Linked DNA regions of Lepisosteus oculatus. The protein of the gene in region 1 purifies or fractionates together with the protein of each later gene. This does not show direct contact. Links are inferred from orthologs where the notes say so. Each region holds a gene or a part of one and is shown on either strand. Other genes may lie near its edges. The genes, in order: mapk4; FAST kinase domain-containing protein 5, mitochondrial.

The links.
Region 2: the proteins of mapk4 (region 1) and FAST kinase domain-containing protein 5, mitochondrial purify together in Homo sapiens (affinity purification with mass spectrometry; 3 studies listed by BioGRID and IntAct, with this or other methods). This does not show direct contact. The link is inferred for Lepisosteus oculatus from reciprocal best matches to the Homo sapiens genes MAPK4 and FASTKD5.

What each region holds. Positions count from the first base shown.
Region 1 is NC_090698.1:15,054,008-15,065,939, reverse strand, and holds the start of mapk4 (mitogen-activated protein kinase 4), read left to right. Parts: upstream 1-7,175; 5' UTR 7,176-7,666; intron 7,667-11,932. UniProt on the Homo sapiens protein: Atypical MAPK protein. Phosphorylates microtubule-associated protein 2 (MAP2) and MAPKAPK5.
Region 2 is NC_090698.1:74,606,001-74,617,787, reverse strand, and holds the start of FAST kinase domain-containing protein 5, mitochondrial, read left to right. Parts: upstream 1-7,397; 5' UTR 7,398-7,557; intron 7,558-11,044; 5' UTR 11,045-11,051; coding exon 11,052-11,787. Other genes in the region: lzts3b (leucine zipper putative tumor suppressor 3), read left to right, coding at 1,466-2,026. UniProt on the Homo sapiens protein: Plays an important role in the processing of non-canonical mitochondrial mRNA precursors.

The DNA.
Region 1 (11,932 bases):
AACATACAGTGCTGTATTCTGTGACTTCAAAGACAGTCATCAGATTTGTTAAAGAACTACCAACAGAGCACACAGCACTAACAAAGAGGTGCTTTTGTCTGAAAGTAGCAGGATATGTCGTACACATCTGAGTTTGTTCTGTAACTGAAATAATGTACTAGTGTTAATATTGTTTCAAACAGTGATCAGTTTAAGTTCTCCTCAAAAACCTGTTTCAGTAAGTGCAAAAGATTTTATATGGTTCTAACAATCGATTTGGTAGAACAGTCGATGTCCTTCTGTAGAGAAGCCTAATAATTATATTGATGACACTGCAGATGGGATATTAATCTGTTCAGAAAAGAATGCGTCTGATGTGAAGCTGAGAAAAACTGTTACTTTTATTGTGATAATGACTTTTCAGATACTCCAGTATTGGAGCATGCTGGCACACTAAGCAGAAGTGACTTCAGAGGTGATGCAGAGTAGAGGAGTGCGATGCTTAGCCCACCTCCTATAACCTCTGCCTGCAGACACCCACATGCTTGCTGTGTGGAGTATGAAGTGGTAGTTTGAAGATCTGAACTCAACAGCAATCAGAAAAAGACTGCAGTGTTCTTCATAACAAAGCAAAACGCTTGTTAAGAAGCACATGGTGTTTCTCATCATTTTTTGCCTCCAGAACTACATTCCCTTCCCCTATTCTGAAGGTTTTAAAATTTAAAAGGATTTTCAAATTAAATTTAGCAAGAAAGTGTTAAGTAGGTTTCGAGTGTGCTTTTTAGTTGTTTACTAGATGATGTAATCAGCAGAATTTGTAGCGGTCCCGTTTCCAGTATACTTGGTAAAGTAGTCAAATTCACTCGTGATCCCAAAATAAGAGGAACAGCATATGCTGGAGATTCTGCAAATAAAATTAAAATAGAAAAGACTAGGCAAAAATGTGTTAAATCACATTTAATGTAGACAAGTGCAGGATTGTGTGCAGGTAGCAGAAATATAAATTATAGATATAAGATGAGAAAATCTTAAGTATGTGTGTTGACACTTGATTTAAAGCTTCTAGACAATGTAGAGAAGTAATACAGCGAACATGTTACAGTGTATAGTACAAAGTATGGGGTTTCAGTCAAGGAAGGTTATGTCAGTGTTATGTTAAGGAAAGAGGGTGGCTGGTGCAATATCATACTCCAATGACATCCTCCTCATCCTCATCCAAGGGTGGATCTGAAGCAGGGGATATCTCTCTCATCACTGGTGCCAGCTTTCTCTGGCAGGGGTAGTCTGGAGTCAGATCCAGGCAGCGCGATATAAATTCTGTCCCTTCAAGAGGCGAAGGGCCAACACCCAACACCAGGGAGCTGTCGTGACAGGATAAGCAGTAGGGCTGCGAAGTACTGATGCAGGTGCTGTTGCCTTGTTTGTGACTTAATACCAGTAACACTAGAGACTGTTTCCACACAGAAATAAAGAGATCAGGTGAAAGCTGAGATCCTGTCATTCTCATTGAAATAAAAGGAAATGGGTTAAATTGGAAGTCTGGTGTGAATAATGGCGGATGTGCCTTATGAATTATTCCTTACAGAAAATGAAACGGGAAAATAGCTGGATATTCGAAGTTCCATTTTCAACAAAATATTAAGTGTGTTTTGCTTCAATTTATGCTTCTGAGAGTTGGCTCAAAGACGCACACTTTTGTCCTTAAACATAGGAATGCAGGAAATATATTGAATTCTTTGGTTTTATACCTATATTGGGAAAAAGTGGTCTCCTAAAAAAAATAGTTAAAAGTATTATTCAATCATGCAGCTTCGTCACCCTCTTTAAAGTCCACTTCTTTGTCTCTCTTGTCTTGTGAGCTGTTAAAAACAAATTTGAGTGCCAATATCTGAAGAACCAGGGAAAAAAAAACTAAAGGAAGCCTTTCTGCCCATCTAGCGTGTTTGGTAGTTAGTAGTTAATTGATCCAAGGATCTCATCCAGACGTGTCTTGAAAGAAGTCAACGAGATGGCTTCAATCAATTTGGCTTCAACCGCACGGCTGAGCAGCTTGTCCCACACTCCCACAGTCCCTTTTGTGAAGACGTCCCTCCTGATCTCAATTTTAAATGCACTTTCCTGTAATTTCCACTCATGTCCTCCAGTTCGTGTTTCCTTGCTCATTCGGTGGAACAGGAACCAAAACCTGCCGTCAGAAAGTGTTTAGAAAGACTGCTTACGGATTCCTGGGGTGGAAAGCTGGCATTCCTGGCAGCAAGTGACTTTCACATTTGTCCTGCAGTCGCCTCCCCCAGGGATTGTACTAATCCCTGCGCTGTGAGAGGTGACAAAGCCCCTGAGCTGACTAGCCCCAACGTTAATCTAGCATTTAGTGTCATTAAATACTTTTGGACGGTCTGCAGTTTTCTGTGCCATTGTGCAGACAGGCATAGATCTGATTTTAGCAGCGGTGGTGCGTGCGTGCTCCGTGGGATATGATGTAACACGAATCGCTCCCTAGATTTCGTTTGCTGATGTCCTGAGCTCAAAATCCAACCAAAGCCACAGATGCAGGGCATGCAGGACAGAGATGCTTGGTGGTTAACTCTCGTGCTACTGGACTGAATTCTCTGTCAGGTCAGTGCTATTTAAAGTGTGGCAAAGAGAACAGAATTAAGGCAGCAGTTTTGAGTGATGGTTCAGATTCTGGGACACGGCTGTGGTACCCTTGAGCAAGGTGCTTCACTCGAATAGATCACCTTGAGCAATTCACTATCAATCTTTTTTGAACCAAAAATATCACCTGTTAAAAGAAAAGTGTTATGGTTTTGTTTCTACAATAACAGGAGTCCTACAGTATATGCTGTGAACCTCCCATACAGTACAGACTGCTGGACCAGCTTTCATCAAATGTTCAATTATCTTCTGAATCACCTTCAAATGCAAAATCATATCTGTACATCTGTACATATCTGTCCTCAAATCGCAAGTGAGCCATCTTGGCTGATGAAAGAACCCTGAGAAACAGCTATTTTGACCATATGAGGCAGCTTAATGCATAAATGTGAGCGTATTCTGCCTATGGGCACTTCCTGTTTCTTAGCAACATGTAGATAGAAAGGCTTTGCATGAGGTGAGATATACTGTATGTAAGCAGCAGGCAATGAGGAGATTTCTCTTTCCTGTTGTAACAGAAACGGCTGCCAAGACTCTATCACAACACCTACACTCTCTATTAGCCTGTCGCTCTTGTAATTACAGCTCTCTTCACATCCAGGTGCTCCTGCATCAGCCTGTAGCACAGCTGGGGAGGAACTTTAGACCTGTCAGAGGAGGACCAGTCAGGAGTTGTCTATTTGGGGGTTAACTAGTCACAGGTTGACCAGTCGGGGGTTAACTAGTCACAGGGTGATCTGTCAGGGGTGCCCCAGTCACAGACTAACCTGTTTTGGTCCTCGGCAGAAACCTAATCTTTTCCAGGAGCTTTTCTGACTAACACAAAGGCCCATCAAGACTAGGCAGGCTATTTTTAAATGGACAGGGAGAATACTGTTGAATTAGTATCAGGATATTCTCCCGGAGAGCAGTTCTGCGGAAGTAGGGGTTAGGAGAGCTGAGTTGCTGTTCAGGGACCGTTCTGGAAAACGGTTTGTGGTCGGTCCTAGTTGACATTGCTAATCTGTGAGTTTGAAAAATTTCCACAGGCACCCCTCACTCTGTGGAGAGGTTAGGTGAATGACCCAAGAACAGGCTGGACTTGCCTGGAGCAGAGTATTGTAAAGAATACACGCTGGACAGCAGTTAAAGTAAGTTTAAAATGGGAATCATCGCTTGGCACTTAACTAGTTAGAAAATATATAGCATTACATAACGTAGCATACATTACGTAACATTACATGTGTACAAACAACAAATATCTGAGATATTTATACATTATTTTTTTTCAGTGTTAGTACTTTAGAATTCCTTATTTAACGGAAAAATGTGCCTTTGACAGCTTAAAAAAGAAAAAATCAAATCTAGTCCTTGAATCTCAGCATTGCCCTGCGATTAATAAAATTAGCATCACAAGCTGATTTCACAAATTGCGTCACCTTTGGTCTAAAACACAGGTCACACAGATCCCACTGGGAAGGTTTTCTCTGTGTGTGCTGCCTGGAGAACTGTCTGGAGTTTGTGGTTTGTGTTGTCAATTTTATCCTGATTTGTAAAAGAAGCTATATGAATGTAAACACAGTCCAGTCGGGAGAACCTGTTTCATCAACTATTTATGAGTGACTGAAGCTCATATTTTAATTACTTTTTAGGTTTTTGGCTTCACTTGTTATAGTGGCTGTATCCATAAATTCATCTGCTGGATGGGGAGCAGAGAGGGGTAAAGAGAGAGGGACACAGCCTACCCTCTTACTGAATGAAGCTCTCAAGTCAGTGGAACCTGAGAAAAGAAGATTGTAAGCACAATGAAACAGCAACTTGGTAAACTGAAAAATTTTTGCTATTCATGGAATGTGCTTGCCAAGTTAATAATTATCAATCACGTTTCTGGCTGATGAAACTTAAAAATGGTATGTTAGCAGTATGATAAGTTTAAATGAGTCTTTTCTCCGGAGTCAGGTGTATGAGTGGTATTATGTGCATTCCTTTGTCTGAGTCTCTTGCATTCATAATAAAAACAACCCCATCACTGTACAGCAGCCCTCAAGTGTTTGTATACCAGATTGTGAGATGAAGCTCATATACAGTAGCTCATGGATCTTAGGGTCACAACAAATACAGTAAAAACAGAGAAATTGTAACACTAGCTTACTCGCTTGGTCCAGAACAGAATCCTTAACAAAACTCCTCTAATAAAAACAAAATTGATCTTCCAGCTTGAAAATAAGGCCAATGAGAACAGGAAGAGTGTAACTGCATATATACTGCAATGGAAAACACCAACCTCAGGAACAGTTCAAGAGAAAAACCCCACTCTTAAAAATATTTGGCAAAATATGGGGATGCAATTCAAGGAGAAAAACACCATAATTTATTGACTCATGTGAAGGTGCATTTAATTGTGTGCTTTCAATGGAAGGCAGAATGCTTTTTGTCACTCTATTTGGTATTTCATATGCACCTGCTCCAGGCATTTAGTAACACAACATTAGCCTTTACACAGAGCACTTCGGTTTCAAAACCTGCTGCAGAGTAAGTTGCAGAAGTATTCTCGTGATGCCCTGCACTGTGCACTTACAGTAAATGACATTAGAGCTGGAATTCAGTTGCATTTCCTTTGGAAAAGATCAATAAAACAAAACATATTGAGTAAACATGGAAACCCTGCTTGGATTAAACACTTTCATGAAAATATGTGCAGGTATTTTTATGGATCGAGCAAATCCCCTTGTGTTCGTAGAGGGCTCTCTTACATGTGAATCAATTGTGTCTATACAGTCTTTTTTAAAAACCAGCACGTACATGTATTCTGGTTGCTAAGGAATTGGTTGCAATGCTTACAGCTGCGTAATTCAGTTTTATTTTCTCATAAAACTTAACCGCGTGGTTTCTGGGAGGGTCCTGCCTTGTTGGAGTGAAGGGTGACTTTGAGGCCGAACAGAAGAGCAATTGGCAGTTATTTCTGTGATCAGAGCAACGCTACATAACTGGGGATACAACAGCACATCTTCTCCCCTTATCTTAACGCAGACTTGCAACAGGGGAATTTTTTGCAGCGTTATGTAATCCCATTCTGTGAACTGTCAAGGCAAATTAGTGTGCATTCAGCAACCAAGACTCCAGCTGACATTCATTAAAAGCAGAAATATTTAGGGACCGAAGAATTATGGGAATTCTAAAGGATGAAAAGGTTCTTGACTTCTCAGACTCTTTTTTAATAATTCCCCCAATCCAAAAGCATGACAAACACCGAACCCAAAGCATCGGGATTCCCTGATTGGAAAGTCACTCTTCCTGGTGAGGAAACCAGTCCTGGAAGTACGGAGCGCAAGGCAGGGCAGAGAGCTCAGGAGCGCTCTCACTCTGGACAGGACATCACTCCACCACAGGGCAAGGGAGAAAGGGGCAACTAGCTGATCAAACGCATCCTTGAGACAGAAAATTTTTAAAAACACACACTGGGTGGGGAACCTGCAAACTCCTCAAAACAGTTCTGAGGCCAGAATGAAAGCCTCCATGATTCTGACCACCAAAATCCAACGTGTTTCATGTAGGCATTTACTTTAAAACTTTCTTCTGTATCTCTTAGGTGAATTAGCTGCATCGGCAATATCCAGTTTAGAGGTAATGATCTGAGCCTCACAAGCTGTTTTAACTTATGGCTTTCATTTTTCCGCCGAAAACGTTGTGTGGACTCGGCTTGCACCCCGCCTTCTCTACCACCCTACAAGAGGAAATCTAAAATAAAGTGGAAGCCCTTGTGTGCTCTGTGAACGAGCACTACCCGGTTTCATTCACCGTGTATGTCAAGTGCTTATTTCCGTGTAGATGATCAAGTGTGCGAGAAAGCAATTTTCTGCCCCTGCTCAAAACATTCTGAGCTGACTAGAGGAAAGTGGATGTCTGTTGCTCGTTGCCACTCATCTCGTAGCCGAAACGAAGTGGACTCCTTCTGTCCTGTTCTGCGGTCGCTGGATTGTGCGCTCATAAATCACTTATTGAGACTGATCTCAAATGAGTCCGCTGTGTCATAGCACATCTCTTTACCCGCCTCGAGTGAAATACAGGTGTATATTTTATTTTTGTCGTTTTTAAAGTCCTTTAAGATAAATTAGGGTATTTACGGACGGATAAAGGACTGCAAATACATTTTCTATTACAATTGAGTAATTGCTTAACACGATTGTGTTATTTTCTGTTCCAGCCTGTCTACCGATAGATAGCCTCTCCGATCGTCCCTGGCGGCGGTTTCAGAACGACACCAGAGGGGGGCGCACTGGGGGAAGAAGCGTGCAGGTGTTACCCCTGTGGCTTTTTAAGGCACGATACCACAGGTTAAAGGCAACATACCAGTGGGGAGAGACAGCATTTCTTTCACAAAATAAAATAAATATTGGCACCCGTCGTACTAGACTGAGAGCCTAACTAGATTCTTCTGGAGAGTCAACCGAATTTACTGTGAATTTCCAAAGAAGAAACAAAAGACTGAACTGCATTTTGCGTGGGGATTAAGATTTGGTTCTTAAAAGTACTTCTTTTTCATTCATTTCGTTCATTCATCGGTGAAGGGCCAGTGTCGTTCATGCACACCCCGTCGATAAATAGCACCTGCTTTCCAACTCCGCGTTAGGTGAATCTAGCGTTCCCGCTGCCCTGTGCACCGTGTGCAGTTGCTTGAGTCACTGACAAAAGGCTCTGCTATTTCAGGAGGCACCGTGCAAGCGTCCAGCATGGTGGACCCGAGACAGGAGCGGAGCAAGCGGCTCGGGAATGGGGCGCCAAGAGAAGAGCTCAGCGCTGCGGCCGCGGCAGGTTAGCAGGTGGCCGCAGGCTGATCGACGGGCTTCACGCTGACGTCACCGCCGTGGGGGCTGAGCTCTCGCAGAGGAGTTCCGAGCAGGGGGGGGGGGAGTGCGAAGCGAGATCTGGAGCTGAGCAGGTTTTGCGCTATCGATGACATTGTCTGTTTTTAAAGATAACCCAGATTAATTCCTCGCAGGACAATGATGAGCATATCGCTGGTTTAGAACGGACCAGGCGCCCTGTGCTCCAGGTATGTATATGTATAATTTTGCAAGATTGTGTTACTTTCTGTGCACAGTCTGCGGTAATTGTAGTGTTAAAGGGCTTTCTTTCTCTTCTAAGTGCCGCTTCTGTGCGTGTTCTGTGATGGTGGGCTTCTTCAGACATGGACAGAAAAATAAAAAGGGGTTGAATTCCGAGCAACGCTGTGTGACCGGTACAGGAGCACAGGATACGCGCAACTTGTGCAGCAATTTCATAGTGTCTTTTAGAAAATATCGTCTTCCCGTTAGGGTAATGTGTCAAAGCCTTTTATCCTGTAACGGATAGCACAGTGTTGCAATTTGCACAAAGGGTACAATTCGCATCGCACGTAGTAGCGTTCGTTTAAGTTGATAAATGTCGTTATTTCTCGTCAATGTTGTGTTTGCGTCTTTCCAGTCAGCGAAAATACGTTAAAGGAGATCCCTCTTCAATATTACATGGCATATGCATTGTTTATGTGGTTGAGTCATGTCTGTCTGTTAAATATATTCGATCACAGTTTCATTCAATCGAGTCAACATTGGCTTTAAGGCATTATATAACGGTAAAGATAATAACACTTGCCATTCGCCATACGGATATGCATAATTTATTAAGTCTCTGTCCTGTGTTTACAGAGACGGTTCTTTCTCTCACTTTTCAGAGTTCGTGCAGTCACAGCAATACAAACAAAGCCCGTTATGAACTATGTCACAGCAATGACGCTGAGCCCATCCTTCCTATAGAATTAGCGACTGTTTTGTATGGAGAAGAGAGGCGCCCGTGGACTGGAAAGCCGAACAGGACTGAGCGAGAATTGTCCTGAAGTAACCTGCTCGGCGTCCGGGAATATTCGAGTTGATTTTACAGAAGCCGCACTTCGCTGTTTTAATTGCTTGTCCTGCTTCACCTATTCATATGAGCATAATGCAATATATATGCACCTAGATGCTGTAGCTACAGCACCGCGGTCTCTTGATTTTCTGTATTTAACGGCTCTGGTCTAGTTGCGACCCGAAGGGATGTTCAGCTCTGTCTGTACAGGCTTTGCAACGTAAAAATCAAAGGTGCGTTATGATGCCAAATCACAGCGACAACTTTCTTTATAGACCTGTTCATGAATTCCTATTAGAAATCACTTTCTCGCAGTGGCTATCTGATTACCTGTTATGCTTTCTTGTACGTGCCGAGAAAGTATTTAGGTCCAGGAGTGTAAAAACAGATACTGTACGTGTTATATCGTTTTTTCCCCTATCCATTCTCAATGAGCACCTCGCCTAACATGAATCAGTGGCCAGTGGAAGTGACTTCTGGGATTATTTCACACTGTAAAATGGGCGAAAGACTTCCACCTAGTTGCTTTCATGTCCTGCCTCTGGATAATTTAAGACTTTTAGGAATTTTCAGGGGATCTATGCGTTTGGATTGACAGATAACTGTTACACTAAAAACAAAAGTATTGCTAGGGTGAAAAACATTAGGCTGCAGTGAAACAAATAGCAGAGTACCACAAGGATCTGTGTGAGGTCCTTTGCTTTTCCTGATTGATGTCCATATTCTAGATTGTAGTAGCAAACCTGTTAAATTTGGTAGAAAGGTAAGTGAATATTTTGGTTGAGAATATTAACAGACCCAAATGGGCAAAGAATTTGGGTAATGCTTTTATTTCAGCAGATGCCTAAAAAAATGGAATTTAACATAGACTAATTCAAATAACTATTCAATAAGGGCACTTATACATTTCATGGAGCCAGGAAACTGCTTACAGATATTGTTTTTTATCCGGACAATGTGGAAAAGTAGAAAAGTTTGTTATTTAAATGAAGGTAAGTAAAGTTACATTGTATAATAAGCACTAGTTAGACTTCTTTTGAAATAGTGTTCATTGTTGGCCACTGCATTCCAGAGTGAAAATTGCTGCTTTAGCAAGAGCTCGAACGAGATTATATTGGAATGATTCTTTGTCTGAAAGACTTGTTATCCCCTGACAGCTTAAAGAAGTTGCTTCTCGTTTTAGGGATGAGGCAGTTAAATGAGGGTTGGATTCAGGTACTATAACACAATAAACTAAACCCAGAGGAGTCTTGCTGCCTCAGTAGAAAAGGAGAGAAAGGTAAGTGCAGGTGCACTCAGGACTGAGGACTGCTGACAGTTCTTTACACATGATACTCTTGGGAGCACAGTGCCCAGATTTCTAGGATGTTTCAACCAATGGCAGGATGAGAGCTGTGGTTTAACGTGATGTTGGCCACCAAGTTAGCATGATGATCTAATGAAGGCCGTTGAAACAACTCTATGAATGTCCTTCGATACCTTGGCTCTGGGAAGTAATTCTTAACAAAATGGTTTAATGTTCCTCTAAATTTGGTTTCTGTCCAGTTTTTGCCCTTCCAGTAAGCCATGGATTTGTACCCCACATGAAACGGTGGTCCAGGTTGCTCAGTATGGGTGAGCTGAGAAATTACAGATCAGTGATTCTGCACCTTCTTCTCTGTCCCTGAGTTTCATGTGCTTTTCAGACCGCACTGGACGTTTTACCGAGTGGAAAAAAAATTGGTCTCATTTGGCTGGCCTACTTATCACCTTTTTTCGTCTTTTCACATTTCACAGAATGTTCTGCAGGCCTAATGTGAATCAAGATTTAAGTTTGTTTGTTTTTTACCAGCTTCTTTCCTTGACATCTATGCACGGAATTATTTGGCAAGTTCTCCACTAGTCCCTCAGGCTGCTGTTGTTCTGCAGGCCCAGGTGGTTTATGAGGGTCTGATTTCCAGGAAACAGCCTTAACACAAATTCACAGTGCAGTGGTCAGATATGATCAACATGCTGGAGAAACACTTGCAGACCTGATCCATTGTGTCGCTGCCTTGTGTTTGATGCAGAACTCTCGAAGGGCATATATGATCCACTTTTCAAGCACAAAAACACCAACCAACTGAGCGAATGCATCTTAATTCTGCAATGAGGGATAGTGGGTGGTGAGTTTCCGAGATGAATAAAGTGAAGGTGAAGAGTTGGAAGGGGGAGGCTCTTCTTTTATTTGGACAGTTACTGTGCACATCAAAAAACTGCATTCTGTTTGCCTGCAAGAGTCAACCTGAAAAAGACAATGTGGGGAAACAGTGTTCAGGTTCTGATGCATGTTGCTTGATAGAGGAACTTGGGCCTGAGTTGGGTTTGAGTTGTCGTTGGGTGAGATAGTTCTCAGCTGTGTGAGCAGCACACTTTCCAGAGCTCACAGATCGCTGCTCAGCGTGTTCACTGACAGGGCCATTCTGACACGGTTGCCAGACCATGTGATAATTTCTGTTTTACACCAGTTCGTGCTTTCAGTGTGATTAGACCCCTAGATGTTTTAAAAAAGTTTTGCCATGGATTTTAGTTTTCATTTTTAAACCAATTTTCAGTTGGCATTATCTGTGAAAGATGCAAACTGCTCATAATGGCAGGATGTATTTACAAGGCAAATTTAATAAAGGCAAAAATACAATGTGTTCATTTCGGCCTCTCATTTTGTCATTATTGATCTCTTCTGCAGACTGGACTTAATGGGTTTCTTCCACTATCCAACTATATTCCTACTGTATCTTTCTCAATACAAAATGTCACATTTTTATGTTTTTATTTTCAGAAACTCGGATGTACAGATGGAGAAATCAATCACAGTGACAGGGAGCACTGAGTAATATAATTTAACCTAGGTTATTATAACACTAGATGTGACAGATTTTTTTTTTAATAAAAAAAGGTTGTCCTGAAAGAACTGATTCACCATATTAAATTCCACTCGTGGTGGGGGAATGATAAAGGAAACCAAACAGAAAGCTCATCTATATTGTGGAATATGTTTAACTCAAATCTGTTCAAACTGATCCCTCAAATAATGCTGATGAAATATTAAATGTGTTGACCTAGGCTTCATCTTAGCAGCCAGAAAGCAAAAAGCACAATGGTTATTTTTGTCTTGTTTGTGAGCTTCTTCAGATGTCTCTGCATTGAATAGGATGCACCAAAATGGGATTAATCTGGTTACAATGGACAGACTTTACTGCCTTCTATTTCATAAGAAGGTGGGTTTGGGGGGTCATTATGATTAACGTATTGTAGAGCAGAAGTGACATTGTGTTATGTAAGTTTGGGTGTTTGGGTTTTCTGCACTTTGGGTCAAAAGGCAATTCATATTCCATAAACCTAAAATTGACTGTAGATGACGAAGCTCTTGTGAGTGGGCCTAATTGCTCGTCAGTCAGAGAAAGTACTTTGTGATTCACTG
Region 2 (11,787 bases), about 60 Mb from region 1:
CTGTGTGAGTCTCCGGTCACGCTGGCTCGGCGGAGGAGAGCCCTGCACGCCTCCTGCTGCAGCAGCCCCCATCTATCAAGTAGAGAGCCCTTTGACCTCCTCTGTGGGGGCTGTGTACTCACAGTGTGCGATGTCACTGGCAGGGATGCTTGTTCGAAACAAGCATGCGGGCTTTCTCTGTGAAACAGGGACCCTTGTGATCTCCCAGGAGCCGGCAGCGGGATGAGAGAGCCGTGACGTGGTGGAGGAGCCTGTCTGCCTGTTCTCATTCCTCGTTCCGGACAGGGGTCATCCCTGTGAGTCGAGACGTACGGACACCGCTGGCGATTCCAAATGATAAAAACATAGAGTATAGAGGTGGTCCCAGTACAGCCACCTGTGGTACTCCACTAATTATATCGCTGATATAATTAAGAAGAGCATTGGTCCGAGTACAGCCCCCTGTGGATCTTTTTTACTCAGTGTAGTAAGATACATGCACAATGTAGCTTGTTCAAAGATTTTTTAACAAATGATGTAAACAAAATCTATCTTATTTAAATCCACACAATCTCCCAGGATTTCATTCTTATACAAATGATCTTTTATGGTTACCATAACTTTACATGTGGTATAAGTAAGACTTACTTAAGTATAAGTAAGGCTTACTGTATAATCAGTTAGTTCAGATTAGTTTCTCTTTATAAGGATGGGCAGTATATTAGCTATTCTTTCAGTCAGATGACATTATATGTCTTCAATGACTGATGGAACAGCTTTGCTAATGGTCTGTAAATAACGTTTCTTTGTTCTTTCTGTCTCTGATTTACTATTGGAATGAGCTTCACGCAGACTCTGTCGACCCCGTCCCTCTCCATGCCCTGCTGTCTCCATCCCCCTCCTGTCCTTGCCTGCGTCTCCTGAGCTCTGTCTCACTCCTGTGCAGTCTGCGCCCCTGGAAGTGCAGGTCTCCAGCTGTGCAGTGCAAAGTGCACTTGAAAGCAATATCATATCCTGATCACAGTTCCCTAGAGGTTCTCTTGCCTGTGTTCCTCACCCTGAGTTGTCTGTTTAAATAGACGAGAGAGGTCAAGACAGAGTGAGGACTTTAGCTGTTCACATCCCTGAAAGGTCTTCCCAATCCGTGTGAGGAAAACTAAAATCCCCCATGAGCACCACCTTCTTCACACACACGGTCCTAATTCATTCTACAACATTGACACCATGGACTCAGCTGACCCAGGTGATCTGTCTCCTGCCCCTCATGCTGTGTCTCTCAGGTGTTTTCTGTGCGGTCCGACCCAAACGGACTCCGAGCTCCTGGGTTCTCCAGGTTCGGTCCAGCGCTGAGAGCTCTTTTCTGCTGCCAGCTTTACTCCCCCCATCTCAATCAAAGCTGACTCTGGAGTCTGTTTGTCCCGTGTGGCGCCCTGGGGTGTGTGTGAGGGGCTGTTCGGCACTGACCCGCGCTCCCTCGCCCCCACAGGTCTCTCTGCTGCGGGACAAGCTGGGCGTGTTCGAAGCAGAGGTGCTGGGACTGAAGCAAGCGCTGGTGGAGCTGGGGGGGGCCGGGCGGGCGGCTGTGCCCTCCCCTCAGAGCCCCCCGGACGGGCCGCCGCCCCCCCAGGCGGACGCCCTGCTGAGCCTGCAGAGCGACGAGGCGAAGGCGCAGCGGCAGGCCGAGGCGGGGGGGCTGCGGCGGCAGCTGGAGAGGCTGCAGGGCGAGCTGAGGCTGGAGAGGCAGCAGAGGGAGAGGCAGGCGCTCAGCTTCGCCAAGGAGCGGCACACCTGGCAGGGCGAGAAGGAGCGCGTGCTCAAGTACCAGGCCCAGCTGCAGCTCAACTACGTGGAGATGTACCAGAAGAACCAGGCCCTGGAGCAGCAGGTGGGCCAGCTCAGCTCCAAGATCAGCCTCCCCTCCCCGCCCACCAGCCTCCCGCTGCCCCCCCCGCCCCCCCCCGAGGACAAGAAGCCCTCCCCGCCCCAGCTCACCCCGCCCTGGGGCGGGCCGTCCCGTCTCGAGCGGATCGAGTCGACGGAGATCTAGCCGGCCTGTCCCGGGACACGGCACCGCTGGCGAGGCAGCGCCGGGCTGCAGAGAGCGCAGAGAGGTTGGGCCGCGCGGACCGCGCCCATCCGGGGACAGAGGAACTGGCACTGACGCTCTGCTGGCCCACTGGAGCTCATCCATTTACTCACGCTGAGCCCACTGGTGGCACCTGGACTGACACGCTGACTGGAGCTGCTGCTGGCGGCGTGCAAACTGGGAGCCTGACACACTGACACGGGAGCTGCAGCTGTCCAGCCTCACTCCTCCTGCGGTCTATGGCCTGGGAGAGCTCCCTGGCCCGCTCGAGGCAGATTAGTTTTGGGGGAGCTGTTTGTATTCCTCCTTCTAAATCTCTCATCTAAGGATAATGAGGGCTACGGTTTTGAAATTGAATTTACCTGAGCTGCAGCACTGACCCCTGGTGCTGATCAACTGCAGGCAGCGGGTCGGTCCGTTAGTACTGAGGCCTGGCGCCGATCCACTGCAGACAGCAGGGTCGGTCCAACAGTACTGACCCCCGGCGCCGATCCACTGCAGGCAGCGGATCACTCCAGGAGCACTGAGGCCTGGTGCTGATCAACTGCAGGCAGCGGGTTGGTCCGTTAGTACTGAGGCCTGGCGCCGATCAACTGCAGGCAGCGGGTCAGTCCAGGAGCACTGAGGCCTGGCGCCGATCCCCAGATCATCACTGAGATGTTCTCGTACTATGGAACACAGGTATTTCCTCAGGGATGCCTCTCAGATATTCCAGGATTAACAGTGAGGTGTTCCAGTAGAAAATACTGACTGCAGTTGCAGGGCAAGAAACTAGTATTTGAGTATGGAGAGCTTAGATTATTACAGTGTAGGACACTGAAGTGTTCCAGAAGGGAAAACACAGATATTCAGTACAGATCATCGTGGTATGCACAGCTGAGATATTCTTGTGCAAATCTGTGAAATATTTGAACATGCAGATATTTTGCAGGAGCATAGAGAGGTATTCCAGTAGAAAATTCCCAGGTGGAGGTGTTCTGTATCTCTGGATTACAGAACGCAGTATGACTGTGTTCCAGAGCACATCTCATTAAAATGATCTGGAACAGAACACATGACCACGTTGTAATGATCCAACTTGATAAGTCAGCTGAAAATGAATTGCATGAGGTCAGCAGTGTGGGGAAGTGGCCAGGGCTCTGGCTTCAGTGGCTTTGAAGACAAATATCAAGGAAATAATAATCCTGGGGTGATATGAGAGTAGACTCACGTCGTGCTCTGAGGAGCTCAGCTGTGTTGTGTCCTGCTGCAGTTCGCCCTGGACTCCCTCCCCTGCCCACCTCGTCCACCCCAAGCTCGTTACACACACAGACCCCCTCGCCACTGGTACAAGAAGAAAAACCTCTTTCCAAGTAGCTGCCATTAAACAAAGTAAAGTAAAAGTCCCTGAGCCACCCTTTACATGAACATTGTTTGCTTCAGCTGCCAGGGTGCAAGACCACAGAGGCACAGAGTGCCTGGCCTGAGAGGGGCAGCATGCTGCACCACCCCCTCTGCTGGTAGGCCCGTGTCAGTGCACACCTGCTAGCGCCAGCCCCCAGGAGCAGACAGGACCTGGCCCGAGGAGAGATTGCGCCTGTGCAGTGGGATTTGGCTCCTCTCTGATAAGTGTGGACTTCAGTGCCAGCAGCGCGCTGCTGGAGAAGATGGAGAGCTGGCTGACCAGCCGAGGGCTCACCTGCGCACACCTGGACTGTTAGTGACCCTGGGAGCCGAGCCGCAGGAGCTGCGATGAGGCTGCGCTCCTCTTCAGATAGAGCATTTTACTTGAAAACCACCTTGAAATTCTCTGTTTCGAACAATCAGAAAAGGTTTAAACAAAAACTGGATCTTCTGGTGAAATTCTAAGAAATGGGGAGTGAGAAGATTGTATATGGACTCAATTGGACAAGAAGGGTAAGCTGGTTCAATACAGTGAAAGAATTCATTGAGTGAAAGAAAGCAATTAGGGGCTTAAAGCTGAATTAAAAAAGCTGTGAGCCTGGAGACCTGTGGACAGCTGTGGTGGACAGGAGAGGGAACGACCCCGGACCCCCCAGAAACTCGCCACCCCACGCAGCAGGTGAGCGGAGGGCACAGCAGAGGGAGTCGAACTCGTGCCATCAAAACACGCTGGAAGATAATCGATCTCACAAACTCCCGCTCTGAAAGCCACAGCAGCAGAGGCCCAGTGGTCGACCCCTCTGGCCTGAGCAGCTGTGTGCCTGTGTGCTTGGTGGGGCAGCAGACAGCAGACAGCAGACAGACAGACGAGCAGACTTGAACAGGGGGCGGGAAGTCCCAGCAGTCACCGCCCCGAAGAGCCTGCCCCATTAAAATGAGCAGTTTGGCACCTGTGACACAACACCAAGCCCAAAATGGAAGAGGAACAACTTCAGCCTACCTTAACCTTGTGCATTACGCACGGCCTGACATATATGCCTGCTACTGGACAATTGTGCTTAATTAAACTGCTCATTCTAATATGGCGGGGTTTTGAGTAACCTGAACATGATCTTAGGAAATCTTGGGCTCCTGAAAATGTCCGTGAATCTGGGAATGTGGGAATCCTGATGGTTTGAGCCCTTCCTGGACCCGGGGTGGAGTGGCAGGGGTGGGCAGAGGGCTGGGGGGGAGAGTGGAACAGCATCGAGTCGGGAAGGAGGAAGAGGAGGGGACTGACAGAGGTGGAGAAAGCAGGAGAGAGACAGAGAGGCAGTATTGCTTCACAGGTCCCAGGACTGCACAGAGCCCCACAGGGCTCCTCGGGGCTGGTCAGGAACCCACAGGGCTCAGTGTGGTTTGCAGGACGCTATAGTGTCCACAGAGTCCATAGGTGTTTATAGGATCCACAGGGAGATATAGGCTACACAGGGATCTGTATAGTGCACAGATCGATACAGGCTACACAGGGAGATGTAGGCTACACAGGGCCCAAGGGATACACAGGGCACTACAGGCTACAGCAGGGGTCCGAGAAGAACCACAGGGTTCCACAGCAATCCACAATGTCCATAGGTCTCTGTAGGGTCCACAGGGCTCCACAGAGACTATAGGTCTCTATAGGGTCCACAGAGCTCCACAGAGACTATAGGTCTCTATAGGGTCCACAGAGTCCACAGGTCTCTATAGGGTCCACAGAGCTCCACAGAGACTATAGGTCTCTATAGGGTCCACAGAGCTCCACAGAGACTATAGGTCTCTATAGGGTCCACAGAGTCCACAGGTCTCTATAGGGTCCACAGAGCTCCACAGAGGCTATAGGTCTCTCCGTAGGGTCTGCTGAGTGGGAGGAGCTGAAGCTGCACTCCACCAGTGTCTTTCTCCTCTTTAGACTTGCTGCTATGTACTTCTAGTAGAACCTGAGAGAAAAGTGTACTTGGATGTAAATATCATTGTTATCGATGTGTACATATATCTATAATGGTATTCCAAGATATTGCGTGTGAATAATTTAAGAGGATTATTGTGAATTAATTAAACAGACACTTCAGCTTTTATTTTTTAAAATATATAAATATATATCTTTACTTTGGGTCTACTACATGGTACAGAAGAAATGAACATATCCAAACTCTGTTCATGTGTTTCCTTTTTATTATTGTTGTTATTGTAATGTCTGAAGAAAACAAAACGCTTCAATGTTTTTTTACAATTCTTTTTATTTATGTTAAGAACTGTAATTGCTTGATTGAAAGCATACTCTAGCTATAACAATAAACCAATAAATACATGAAAAAATACATCTGAGCATTCTACTCTTTCTAGAATAATCTCTCAATCTCTCCATGGTTACAGGCTCAAAGGGCAAGCACTGCTGACCACAGGTAAAGAGGTCCAGGACAGATGTGCTTGTAGCTCCAGGACATTTCTTGTATTAGGAATTTGTCTTTTCACATACACATACCCCAACTTGCTCTCCATGAGACACACAGACAGGGAGAGAGAAGCTAAGGGTGAAAGTGCAGGGTCAGTCATTCATAAGGCACCCCTGGAGCAGCTGGGGTGAAGGGCCTTGCTCAGGGGCCCCTTGGAGTAAGATTCCTTACAGCCACAGGCGCAGATCCTGAGCCACAGAGCCACCACTCCACCAGCACCAGATAGGAGCAGAGGTGACACCATGGTTATTATGTGCGGAAGACAAACCCAGAATGAAGGGCAGTAGTGGAGAAGATCTTATAACTGAAGACCTGTTCCCCTTGACACATTAGTAAATACAAAGCTACTGCAGACATGCTCATAAATCCAAGCTTCAGTGCCAGCCTTGTGATTAATGTGCTTGAACTCCTTTCCATGGGCCCCAGTTACCTCCCGCCTGTGCGGAGTGTGTTGCCAGTCTGCAGGCTCTCCTGACTGGGGAGGTCGTCCACATGCCTTCAGCTACTGGAATCAAGGAGCAATCCCCCGTCCTGGGCTTCAGTCTGCCGTTAAACAGCCTGGAGATGGAGATGCAGAATGAGAGATCAGCATTCTTCCTTGTTAGAGCTTCACAATGGTCACAACTGACGGGAGACCACGTGGCTCAGCTACTGTAGGTCACTTGGTCGCTAGTATCCAGGCGATCAGAGGATCCCAGCCAGCGGTGTCTCGACGCAATCAGCAGCATGGCAGCTTGTTCCACACTCCCACAGCCCCTGTAACGCTGGGGTTCCTTCAGCGTGTGACCATCCTGAGCGTGAGGACTGCGCAGCGCGTCCCTCCTGCTGGACTCCTGCTCTGGACCTGAGCACCTCTAACTCAGAACCAGAACTGAAACCCATAGGAGATGTCAAACACTTCCAATCCTGCATTCACAAAAGCTCACTTAAAAGCAGCGAGCCAGTGCAATAACAGAAACCCTATTGTTGGCCAAAGCCTGCACTTCGGTCTCGCTCACTTCTTCCTGGTTCTACAGCAGCTTCTCCCACCAGGGCCCGGCTCCGGATCTGGGCTGAGGATCGGAGAGCAGGACAGTGCAGCTTTCAGTGTGCAGACTGGAATAATGAACATGATGGTTTGTCTGAACTCAGTTATTTCCACCTTAGTATTGCAAAAGATGTCAAGGACAATACTTCCCAAGCAGCTCTGTAGTCTTACCCTGGCAGAATTAATTGAGTGAACCCTGTCACTGGCACAGCCTTCCTCTAATCACTTGCATTTCTCATACACATGGAGCATATTGAGGTAACCAGTAAAAAAATCCAAACACTAATATCATAATGGCTTTATAAAAGCAGGGACAGATTTCCTTCTAGCGACACAAGTCAGAAAAGATGTGAAAGATTATTCTGCTTGTCTGCCGTGAATTCCGGAGACATCTAGTGTCAGTGTGATACTAACTGCGCATGCTTTCCTTTGTTTTGAAAAACGCGTTACAGCCAGTCCCCGGGTTCTGTTTGTCCCTCCGGGGGTCCTGTACGTCATCGAGTTCGTGACCTTTGTGCGGCGGCCGGTGAGGTTTCGGCGAACTTGCGGATCCTGGACTTGGAGGGGACTGCGGGTCTTGGCTCAGTTGCAGCGTGTCCGGAGAGGAGGTGGGTTACTTTGGCGGGGCTTCGGTACCGGGGGCTCGGGCAGGTGCGCACCCCACATGGTCCCGGCGCGTGTTTACTGCCCGGAGGCAGAGCTGGTCAGCCCAGCTCGGGTGCGACATCTGCTGTTTTACTTTCTCCGCTGCCCCAGGCAGAGCAGCAGGGGGTCGTCGGTGTCTGGGTGTGAAATCTCACACGGGCTCTCGCACGCCCTGTTTGTCCTCCGCCAGGTCCGCTGCTGGAAGCCGTGGACCGCCCACGGGTGAAGGAGGCGACAGAGAGGGTCGCAGAGTTTAGTTTAGGGCTCACACGCCGGGTGTCGGACAGGGAGACCGCTGTGACTTTGGGAAGCTCGGCATCTCTCCGCTAGCCGCTCCTTCAGAGCGTGTAGGAGCCGGAATTAACACAAGGCTGTGCGGTCAGGCCGGGAGCCCCTGAAGCAGTGGTTGGCGGCGCCCTGGGCAGCGTGAGGAGCGAGAGGCGGTGCCCGGCCTCCACCTGGCTGTGAAACAGCAGGGCGCAAGTCGCGGTGTGGAGCCCTGTCGCCCTGTCTGTTACAGAGCTGGGCTCGTTAAATACGTCCTTCCCCTTCTTCTCGCCACGTTAACTGTAGAAGACACCGAGCGCAATCCCGTGTATTTCTAAGAAAATAGCAAGGCTAGTAGTTTAATTGACTATTCGGGTTGGACTTAGAACCAAAAGTCTCTCCAGTCTGGTACACCTGCTGGTAACAGCCATACACACCCCACAGCACCATAGTTCCCATGAGTTTAACATCTTAATGCGGCCATACTTATCGCAAGCTACCCAGCCTGGCTACTTTCAAGAAACAGCTGGAGGAGATCCCTGGATCGGTTTGTAGCCAGCTACTCTATGAGCGAGATCCCCTTCATTTCATCTTCTTGCGGAGCACAGTGGATTGGATTCAGTCAGCACACTTATACTGAGAGGCAAGGACTGTTTTCTTGCAGCGATTGTATTCTGACTCATCAGTAGGCTTTTAGAACTTTTCTTGCGTGTGTTTTTTTTTACATTGCCTTATAACCTGATCCTAGAAGCTGGGGCAGGCTGGGCCTGGTTAGTACTGGGATAAAAGACCTTCAAGGAAAACTTAGCTGTTACTGTAATGGTGTTGGTGGACCAGAAGGTGGCACTCTTCAGTCTGAACTGGAATTTCCAGTCCAGTTCAATGGGGAGTGTTATTCATGGTGCCCGGGCTGAACTCCACTTGTACAGTCTGGTCTCCCTTGACCTACCCATTAATATACCTGCTGCAGCAGTTTCTCTCCTCCCCACAAACTGTGTGCAGTGAGGCTGCTGGTGCAGAATGATCCCTGTGTGTCTCCCAGGTGGGGCTGCTGGTGCAGAATGATCCCTGTGTGTCTCCCAGGTGGGGCTGCTGGTGCAGAATGATCCCTGTGTGTCTCCCAGGTGGGGCTGCTGGTGCAGAATGATCCCTGTGTGTCTCCCAGGTGGGGCTGCTGGTGCAGAATGATCCCTGTGTGTCTCCCAGGTGGGGCTGCTGGTGCAGAATGATCCCTGTGTGTCTCCCAGGTGAGGCTGCTGGTGCAGAATGATCCCTGTGTGTCTCCCAGGTGGGGCTGCTGGTGCAGAATGATCCCTGTGTGTCTCCCAGGTGGGGCTGCTGGTGCAGAATGATCCCTGTGTGTCTCCCAGGTGGGGCTGCTGGTGCAGAATGATCCCTGTGTGTCTCCCAGGTGGGGCTGCTGGTGCAGAATGATCCCTGTGTGTCTCCCAGGTGGGGCTGCTGGTGCATAATGGCCGCTGTGTGTCTCCCAGGTGGGGCTGCTCTTCAGACAGATGAAGTTGGTTCATTCTCTATGTGATGCGTTTCAGGATTCTTCAAGTTGAAAAATGTAACATTTTTTATTGTCATTATCAAATGAAATGTATTCTTTTATTTATAATAGTAGGGCAGTTTGTATTTTAATTTACTTTCCTGAATGCGCAGGAGTCCGAATGCCCCGCTGAGGCTCCTCTGTTCTCGTGGGGACTTGGGGTGTCCTGGTGTCCCCCTGTCAGGGCTTGGCAATCTCAGCTGCTGTGGACGAGTGTGTGGCCGAAGTTTGTGTCTCACAGTGGCGTGTGTGTGTGTTGCCGTGCAGGGGACAGTGTGGCGCCTCACGGTGGCCTGTGTGTGTCTTGCCGTGCCGTGCTGGGGGAGTGTGGCGCCTCACGGTGGCGTGTGTGTGTGTTGCCGTGCAGGGGACAGTGTGGCGCCTCACGGTGGCGTGTGTGTCTTGCCGTGCCGTGCTGGGGGAGTGTGGCGCCTCACGGTGGCGTGTGTGTGTTGCCGTGCAGGGGACAGTGTGGCGCCTCACGGTGGCCTGTGTGTGTCTTGCCGTGCCGTGCTGGGGGAGTGTGGCGCCTCACGGTGGCGTGTGTGTGTCTTGCCGTGCCGTGCTGGGGGAGTGTGGCGCCTCACGGTGGCCTGTGTGTGTCTTGCCGTGCCGTGCTGGGGGAGTGTGGCGCCTCACGGTGGCGTGTGTGTGTGTTGCCGTGCCGTGCTGGGGGAGTGTGGCGCCTCACGGTGGCGTGTGTGTGTTGCCGTGCAGGGGACAGTGTGGCGCCTCACGGTGGCCTGTGTGTGTCTTGCCGTGCCGTGCTGGGGGAGTGTGGCGCCTCACGGTGGCCTGTGTGTGTGTTGCCGTGCCGTGCTGGGGGAGTGTGGCGCCTCACAGTGGCGTGTGTGTGTTGCCGTGCAGGGGACAGTGTGGCGCCTCACGGTGGCCTGTGTGTGTCTTGCCGTGCCGTGCTGGGGGAGTGTGGCGCCTCACGGTGGCCTGTGTGTGTCTTGCCGTGCCGTGCTGGGGGAGTGTGGCGCCTCACGGTGGCCTGTGTGTGTCTTGCCGTGCCGTGCTGGGGGAGTGTGGCGCCTCACGGTGGCGTGTGTGTGTCTTGCCGTGCCGTGCTGGGGGAGTGTGGCGCCTCACGGTGGCGTGTGTGTCTTGCCGTGCCGTGCTGGGGGAGTGTGGCGCCTCACGGTGGCGTGTGTGTCTTGCCGTGCCGTGCTGGGGGAGTGTGGCGCCTCACGGTGGCGTGTGTGTGTGTTGCCGTGCCGTGCTGGGGGAGTGTGGCGCCTCACGGTGGCGTGTGTGTCTTGCCGTGCCGTGCTGGGGGAGTGTGGCGCCTCACGGTGGCGTGTGTGTGTGTTGCCGTGCCGTGCTGGGGGAGTGTGGCGCCTCACGGTGGCGTGTGTGTGTCTTGCCGTGCCGTGCTGGGGCAGTGTGGCGCCTCACGGTGGCCTGTGTGTGTCTTGCAGTGCCGTGCTGGGGCAGTGTGGCGCCTCACGGTGGCCTGTGTGTGTTGCCGTGCCGTGCTGGGGGAGTGTGGCGCCTCACGGTGGCGTGTGTGTCTTGCCGTGCCGTGCTGGGGGAGTGTGGCGCCTCACGGTGGCGTGTGTGTCTTGCCGTGCCGTGCTGGGGGAGTGTGGCGCCTCACGGTGGCGTGTGTGTGTCTTGCAGTGCAGCGGTTGGATGGCGTGGTATGTGCTGTGCCGGAGGCTGGCTGTCCCGCGCCGCCCTCGCCTGCCCGTGGTGTTGTGGACGCGTGAAGACGGGGACACGGGCCCTGGCCAGCGGAGGAGGAAGAGTGCTCCCAGAGAGCAAGAGGAGGAAGATGAGGAGGAGGAGGAGGGAGAGCTGGTGGGCAGACCCTCAGCTTGGCTGGAGTACAGGGTGCCCTACTGCCCCTCCGCCTACCACCTGCCCTCGCCTGGCAGAGCGCCCTCCCCTGCGGCAGGGGAGCCAGCGGAGGAGCCGGACCCCCAGGGCGCCTGGCAAGGAGGGAACCCCTACAGTGTCAGCTGCTCGCGCCGCCTGTCCAGCTCGCAGAACACCCTGCTGGACCTGGCCTTCAGCCCGGCTCGGGCCGGCCTCGGGCCGCAGCAGAGCGCCCCCGCGCGGGCGCCGGAGCTGGACTACGACAGCCTGGAGGACCCCCGCGCCTTCCAGAGCTCGCGGCCGGAGTACCGGCAGCTGTGCCACGACCTGGCCGAGCGCCCGCCCCCGCTGGCGGCGCAGCGCGCCTTCCTGCTGCTGCACCGCGTGGCGGTGCTGAAGGGCGGCCTGCAGCCGGACGGCGTGGCCGCGCTGCTGGCGGAGCTGGGCCGGCTGCCCCCGGAGCTGCAGGCGCCCGTGCGCGGGGACCCGCGCTTCTCCATGCTGTGCCGCCTGGCTGCCGAGAGCCTGCCGCGCTTCAGCGACGCCCAGC